2 linked regions of the Mytilus edulis genome follow. Each later gene encodes a partner of the first gene's protein in a complex. Links are inferred from orthologs where the notes say so. Each region holds a gene or a part of one and is shown on either strand. Other genes may lie near its edges.

Evidence for each region. Proteins that work in one complex are often made in the same cells at the same time.
Region 2: exosome complex component RRP42-like (region 1) and exosome complex component MTR3-like share a complex: the UniProt entries of both Homo sapiens proteins name them as parts of the RNA exosome core complex. The link is inferred for Mytilus edulis from reciprocal best matches to the Homo sapiens genes EXOSC7 and EXOSC6.

Annotation. Positions count from the first base shown.
Region 1 is NC_092348.1:9,394,239-9,397,997, forward strand, and holds the start of exosome complex component RRP42-like, read right to left. Parts: upstream 2,271-3,759; 5' UTR 2,185-2,270; coding exon 2,128-2,184; intron 1-2,127. Other genes in the region: palmitoyltransferase ZDHHC3-like, read left to right, coding at 2,344-2,357. UniProt on the Homo sapiens protein: Non-catalytic component of the RNA exosome complex which has 3'->5' exoribonuclease activity and participates in a multitude of cellular RNA processing and degradation events.
Region 2 is NC_092345.1:86,987,755-86,991,513, reverse strand, and holds the start of exosome complex component MTR3-like, read right to left. Parts: upstream 2,549-3,759; 5' UTR 2,465-2,548; coding exon 2,375-2,464; intron 1-2,374. UniProt on the Homo sapiens protein: Non-catalytic component of the RNA exosome complex which has 3'->5' exoribonuclease activity and participates in a multitude of cellular RNA processing and degradation events.

The DNA.
Region 1 (3,759 bases):
ACTTTTGCTTTGACCCCTTCCTGCAAGGTAAGGCGTCAAAGAAAAAAATATAATAGCCTGTCAAGATGTCAAATAATTATTTGAACTACCCTGTGGGTCTCATTGAGGTATAAGCGTGACACTGGATTGCCGATTTTTTGTAAGCGTGACACGTGAAAATCAAACTATTGTCTCAGGAAAACGGGAAATGAGGTTTAGCGAGACCTGGGAAATGACAAGAAAATGAGAATTGCCTACATACATAGTGTAAGCAGGATACGGAAATCTGACAAAACAGTAAGCGGGAACCGGGATCGGAGCCCCCAATGAGACCCCCTACCCTCATTCAAGACGTCATACTCTGTCCTGTTAATCATGCTGTGAGAGCTATGTTAACTTTTGAAACGACACTGAAAATAATGGATCATTTATAAATAATCAATTATTGTACAATACAAATCCAGGCAGTCTATCTATCTATCTTCCCGTCAAGGAGTGGACTCATATTTGAGTGTATATACTCCAGCGTATATGTCAGTGATATATGTCAATTTATTATACGACCTCCAGCACGGCTTCAGACACTCTAGATCATGTGAAACACAACTTCTATCTTTTATACAAGAACTGGCTTCAAATTCAGACAATAACACCCAAACAGACCTTGTAATTATGGACTTTGCCAAAGCCTTTGACAAAGTCCCACATCAAAGACTCTTATACAAACTACACTTCTATGGAATACAAAATGAAACACTTAACTGGATCTCTGCCTTTTTATCAAACCGCACACAAACAGTTGTCCTGGATGGAGAGTCATCAGACGTTGCTCCAGTTACTTCTGGTGTCCCACAGGGAACAGTTCTGGGTCCAGTTCTATTCCTGGTTTACATAAACGACCTACCAGAATATTTGAAAACCAGTAAACTCAGACTGTTCGCCGACGACAGCATCATTTACAAAAGCATCAAATCTAAGGAAGATTGTGATAGTCTTCAGGAAGATCTTGATGCTGCTGCAAAGTGGGAAGAAGACTGGCTGATGGCTTTCCATCCAGACAAATGTACAGTTCTCACAGCCTCAAATAAGAAAAATACAATTAAAAAAGACTACATTCTCCACAGTCATACACTAGAATCTGTCTCCGCAGCTAAATATCTTGGTATAACACTACAATCTGACCTAAAATGAAACCAGCACACAAACAACATCATTGGCAATGCAAATAAAAGTCTAGGATTTCTAAAAAGAAATCTAAAAACATCAATCACAAACATTAAGTCCCAGGCATACCTAGCACTTGTCCGACCAAAACTAGAATATGCTTGTTCGGTTTGGAACCCTCATACTGCTGAACAATGCAATAAACTTGAGATGGTTCAACGTAGGGCAGCTAGGTATGCCTGAAATCGTTACCACAACACCAGTAGCGTTACAGACATGCTCAATACCTTAAATTGGCCTACCTTACAACAACGCAGACTTAAAACTAGACTTATAATGTTCTATAAAATTGTTCACCATATTGTCGCCATACCATCAGATTTACTCATACCAACAGACAATAGAACCAGACAATTCCATCCACAAACTTACAGACACATACTTACATTTAAAGACTGTTACAAATATTCCTTTTTTCCGTTTACTATTACACAATGGAATGTACTACCTCCAAAGGTAGTACTTTCTCCGACCTTAAATATTTTTAGAGAACAGTTGACACCTACTGTTCTCTACAATATAAAACAGTAAACCTAGTAGTTATGTAAATAGTTTTAACCACATGTCATGTTAGTATTTGTTTATTTTTGGCACTTTTCTTTTGTAAATATCTATTTATTATTATCCTACGCATGCGCAGCAGTTAGTAATCATCAAAAATCTGATGGATAACTGGATACCATAAGAAGAAGAAGAATAAGAAGATATATGTGTAGTTCGAATAATTATAACATTCTGGCAAGGCTGTTTTATTTTTTTTCTGAGACGCCTTCGTGTCGTAGGAAGGCGTCCCAGAACAAAAATAAAACAGCCTTGCCAGAATGTCATAATTATTTCCACTATGATGATATGTGTTGCCAGTTGGTTTTTTTTCAGAAATATTTTTCGTACAAAGAATTAAATAGTGAATAGAACTTATAAAACCTGAATGCCATGTATAATAAACACTTTCTCAGCATCACTCAACAAAGCATCAACCATGATTTTATCATAAAACTAATATCAACAGGGAAGCATGGTAAGAATAAATAAACCGGAAGTGTGAAGAATGCGAAAAACGTCATCAACAATTGGAAAATGTCGGCGCCCTGTGCCTGGTGATCCCAAACAAATCTCACATTAAAATTCCTTCTTTATAGAATGGATGACCCTCTGTAAGACTTATAAGCAAAACTTTTCGTAGTAGAATACACTATTTTCCTCGAAACGAACAGAAAAAGCATACATGAGAGAACAAAAACATGTTTATTCACCTGAAATTCCTCATTGAATCAGATTATCCAAAAAGATGTGATATTTCTTTCACATACATTTTGTTCCACTGATAGACTAAATGAAGCTGAAACAATGATAATTGAAAGTAGAAATTCTATTAATAAAATGGCTTTTTGCAAAGGCAGTGGCTATTTTACCGGCACCGGCAAAATAGCAAATTTGTTTAGCCGGCTCTGAATAAAATTGTTCATTGATCATGTTGATGTGATTAGTCATGGTAGTAGAGAATGAAAAAATCTTCATAATAATTTAAAATCTTTTTATCACAATATCAAGCACTAAAAATACAGTACAATCAAAAATAAAATATTGAAGATGTTCATATAAATAAATAATTTATAACTTAACCCTTCCAACGCTATACACGGCATATGCCGCGATGACGTACGCCGTTCGCCACTGCTATTCGCGGCATATGCCGCGATGAAAAAGGATTTTTCATAAGGACTCTTAAACCATTCGGTTTTCATTCGGGTTCTCTCTAATTTTTCCTCGTTTGAATCTAGGATATGCAAGGTCTCATTTGCGCTTGAAATCCCGACAATTTTTATAGTAAAATCATGCAGTAGAAGGAAAATAGAAGGAAAATAAAAACAAATATTTTGACAAATGCAAATGGCGGAAATCGGAAACGAAGCTGTAAATATGGAAAAATTTCAGCATTTCCTTGGCGAAACTTACAACAAGGATTAGTTAAAAGGTTTCTTGTTATCTCAATGTGTTTATTACATAAAATTCGTGTGGGAAATATGATTTGATCGATCATTACGAGACGTAGAAAAAGGGGGGAAAACGGAGGTTGACTGAAATTTTTTTTGACGGAGCTATTTATTTGTGCCACGATTACATAAAACGTTATGTATGGTACAATACGCTACGAAATCGGGCAACTGGTGTCTTCTTTACAATATGGCAGATAAAACAACAAAATAAATGAAGACTAAAAGTAGTTTTTATTCAAAATTCAACACAAATGTAATAAATTACACCTTTTACCTGTTAATTACCTGAAAACGCAGGTAACCTGATAAAAATTTCAGTAAAATAATTGCCTAACATTACAGTTCATGCTCTCCTGAGCATTTTTCATGCAATAACTTTCTCTGTATCTCATATAATAAAAAAGATACAGCAGTCTGAAAAGGAAAATACTGTTCTAATGAATGTACTAAAAAAAAATGCAGCAGCAGCAGCCATTTTTCTATTTTTTTGTGTAGCGTTGAAAGGGTTAATAATATTGATTAAAAGCATGACAACACCATCAAAAGATCAAAGAACTAT
Region 2 (3,759 bases), on another chromosome or scaffold:
AGATTTATTTAATTTTAATCATGCAAAAGATGTTTTTCTTGGCACCATGAAGCCATTTAAGTGCCAAGTCACTTTGACATTTTGTTTTTTTAACAATTATTTGATAATCTTTGATATTTTTTTTATATATTTTGTTTAAAAAGCTGGTTTATATACAATAGTTTAAGAAAAATACAAAAATATTTTTGTAGAAATAAGCGTTATTTATTCAAAGAAAATAATCAGAAAAAATGAATTGTGACTTTTTGTCCTGTGACTTTTTGTCCGTGACTTTTTGTCTGTGACTTTTTGTCCTGTGACTTTCTGTCCTACATTCTTTTTACCCATCCAAGCTGACTATTTTATTTGAGAAAAATGTTATTTTCATTATTAATCCATCAAAAACAATTCATATACCAATCAGTGATATCAAAGATTTCAAATTATTCCTAATTAGCAATCAAAATTCAATCAACAGTAATTAAAAGTAATTATAAAATAAAGTGTAACAATGCAGCCAAGAATTTTATTTAATTAATATTCTGTATTTAACTTTTAATAGATATACATAAATTTTAATATATATAAATATATATTTCTTTCATTAATGCAACATGTATATCATAAATGAAAATAGGGCAAACGCACCCAGGGAGAACGAATTGCCAGGGCGAACAAACTTAGTGCGAACGAACCTAGGGCGAACATGTAATCAGGGCGAAAGATCCTGTTACCATACTGTGATATCCAGTAATGGGGGACAAAAGCGATAAAGTGTAATCCAATTCATTTTTATTAATTGTTTGATATAAAAAAAAGTTACCTGATAAGTTTTTTTTTTATTACATTGAATATGACGTCATAACTTAAATTATGTCACTACTAAAATCCCTAACAACAGAACCAAAATCGGAAACGTTTCTGAATTTCAGTTTCTTTTTTTAACAAGTTTGAGTTAAAAAAAATAATTCATACAAACTTCTTCCCCTTTCACAGGTAATGCTTGCATCATATTACAATTAAATTCAGCTCCTACATGCAGTGTCTCATTGGCGTCCAAGCGTTACATGGTCTAGACTGATTTACAGTAGGGGTAGAGACTTATTTTTATGGATGTCTTAATCTGTCTAGTCGGATATGAATAATCAGACATTTTTATGGTAGGTAGTAGGGTCATTAATCAACAGATCCAGGTGTGACTGGTAATATATTTGTCCTTTCATCTTAATCCTTGCTACTAGAATTATGGTTCACTGATTTCAGAATCAGGTTACCTGTAACTTTAACCTCTCAGTCACTTAATTGATTATAGAAGTTCTACATCCTACATGTATTTGGCATAAAATATGTTTACAGGTGAAGTACTGGAGAAAACTTTGTTTTAATAAAAGTAGCCTAATTCTTTTAATCATGGTTTTTATATTTCTGTTGTGATATGACTATACTTATTATATATCTACCGATGTTTTCCACATTTCAACTGCTATTTTACTATTTATTTTCTTTGTTCCTCAAAATTATTTTTATTTTATGTGCCTTGTTGTTTGGTTTTTTTTGTATCTTTTTCTTATTTGTTTGCATAAAATTTTTAAACATATTTTTATTCTACAATGTTCTATTTCTGGAAGGTTTTTTTTGTTTTACTGATTTATTTTCCACGTCAATCCATTGATTAGCAGAATGCTGTACAAAGTGCTATTGCATATATGTTTTAGTGAGACCCGATCACATGCAAAATATTTCTATATTAATCACACTACATTTGTATACAATATTCAGTCTGCGTTGGGTCAGTTCCGAGATGGAAACAGGGATCTCCTGTAGTTGGTGATTGCAATACTGGTAACTAGTATTGTGCACAATACTGATATAAAAAATTTGTACCAGTATTGTACCAGTATTATGTTTTTTTTTAAATTTTTTCCCTCTATAGAAGGATTATCCCTCTATACAGGTATACAGTAATTTCATAATGCTAAAAACTAAATTTTCTTAAAATTGGTCGTTTTAGGTAAAATGGCACTAATTTATAGAAAATGGAAACAACTTCTCCCAAAGAAATATATTTTTATTGTGGGTTTTAAAAAAGTTAGAAGCCTAGAAAATAGTCAAATTTTCTGATTTTTCATAGGCTTGTATCTTCTCAGTAAATTAACTTTAAAAGATAAGGATAATCATCTTTTAGAAAAGTTGCTGCATTTTTCATGAATATGTGCCATTTTAAGAAAAAAGACTCAGTTAAGAAAGTTTTGTTTTTTAGCACTACAAAATGATTACTCAAATGAGTTATTGTTACTCATTTGGGGAACAGTTACCCATTTGGTGGGTTGTCCCCAACCGGGTATAATCACCTTACAGAAGGTTTGTTCCCAACCTGTTTAATTTGTTACATTACCATCAAAGTTTTGGTACTATCGGTTGGAGTATATGCCAAAGGACTGAACGATTCCTCTGGACCTCCAATCCTTCGAGTATCGGTCGGCATTTTCCCTTTGTATATGGTAATGTTCAAAAGCTCATGAGCGACGAATGGGGGCTGACATTTTGAAAAATTGTAGAAGTTTAACCAGTTCCGGTAGTGGTTCCGGATAATCGATCTGTATCTGTATAAAATCTGCCAATGTAGGCACACCTCCAATGGAGCAGAATAAAATACTGTCCTCCACCATGCAATTTTTTATAAGATAAGATGTGTCCAACTCACTACACAATTAAATACTAAAAAAAATTGTTGATTATATAGGGAATCATTGAAGCATGACTGGAGCGGCCCCCCTTAGGTCAGTCAGCGCCCCCCCCCCCTTTTTAGGAAAAAGTTCTGGATCCGCCTATGCGTGACAATATTAAACAAAGAACACAGATGGATACATGACATAATTGTATTTTGTTGTATTTTGGTGATGGTGATGTGTTTGAAGTTCTTACTTTACTGAACGTTCTTGCTACTTACAATTATCTTTATCTGAGACTACTATTACACATGTGTATGTAGTAGTCTCAGCTATAATGAACTTGGGCCATTAGTAACAGAGGAAATTATTTTGCAAAAATTTACCAAAATTTACAAAATTTATGAAAATTGTTAAAAATTGACTATACAGGGCAATAGCTCATAAAATGGTCAACTGACAATTTTGGTCATGTTGACTTATTTGGAGATCTTACTTTGCTAAACATAATTGCTGTTTACAGTTTATCTCTATCTATAAAAATATTCAAAATGATAACCAAAAACGGTAATAATTCCTTAAAAAATACCAAGTCAGGGGCAGCGGCAACCAACAACCGGTTGTCCGATTCATCTAAAAAATTCAGGGCAGATAGATCTTGACTTGATAAAAAATTTCATTCCATGTCAGATTTCTCTAAATGTTTTGGTTTCAGAGTTATAAGCAAGATCTACATTTTACCCCTATGTTCTATTTTTAGCCATAGCGGCCATCTTGGTTGGTTGGCCAGGTCGAGCCCACAAATTTTTTAACTAGATACCCAATGATGATTGTGGCCAAGTTTGGTTAAATTGGCCCAGTAGTTACAGAGGAGAAGATTTTTGTAAAAGTTAACGACGACGGACGACGACACCAAGTAGACATTTTATTGCAGAGAAAGGTGTTAGACAAGGAGATTATTTGCTGAGCTCCACATATGATTTTATACATATATATATATTTTTTATTAATCATTGACTTAAGTCAGATATTTGCCATGATTAGCAAAAAATGTACCCCTGCAAAGCATATAAATTCAGACATAGGAAGCCACTTTCTTGCAGACGATTTT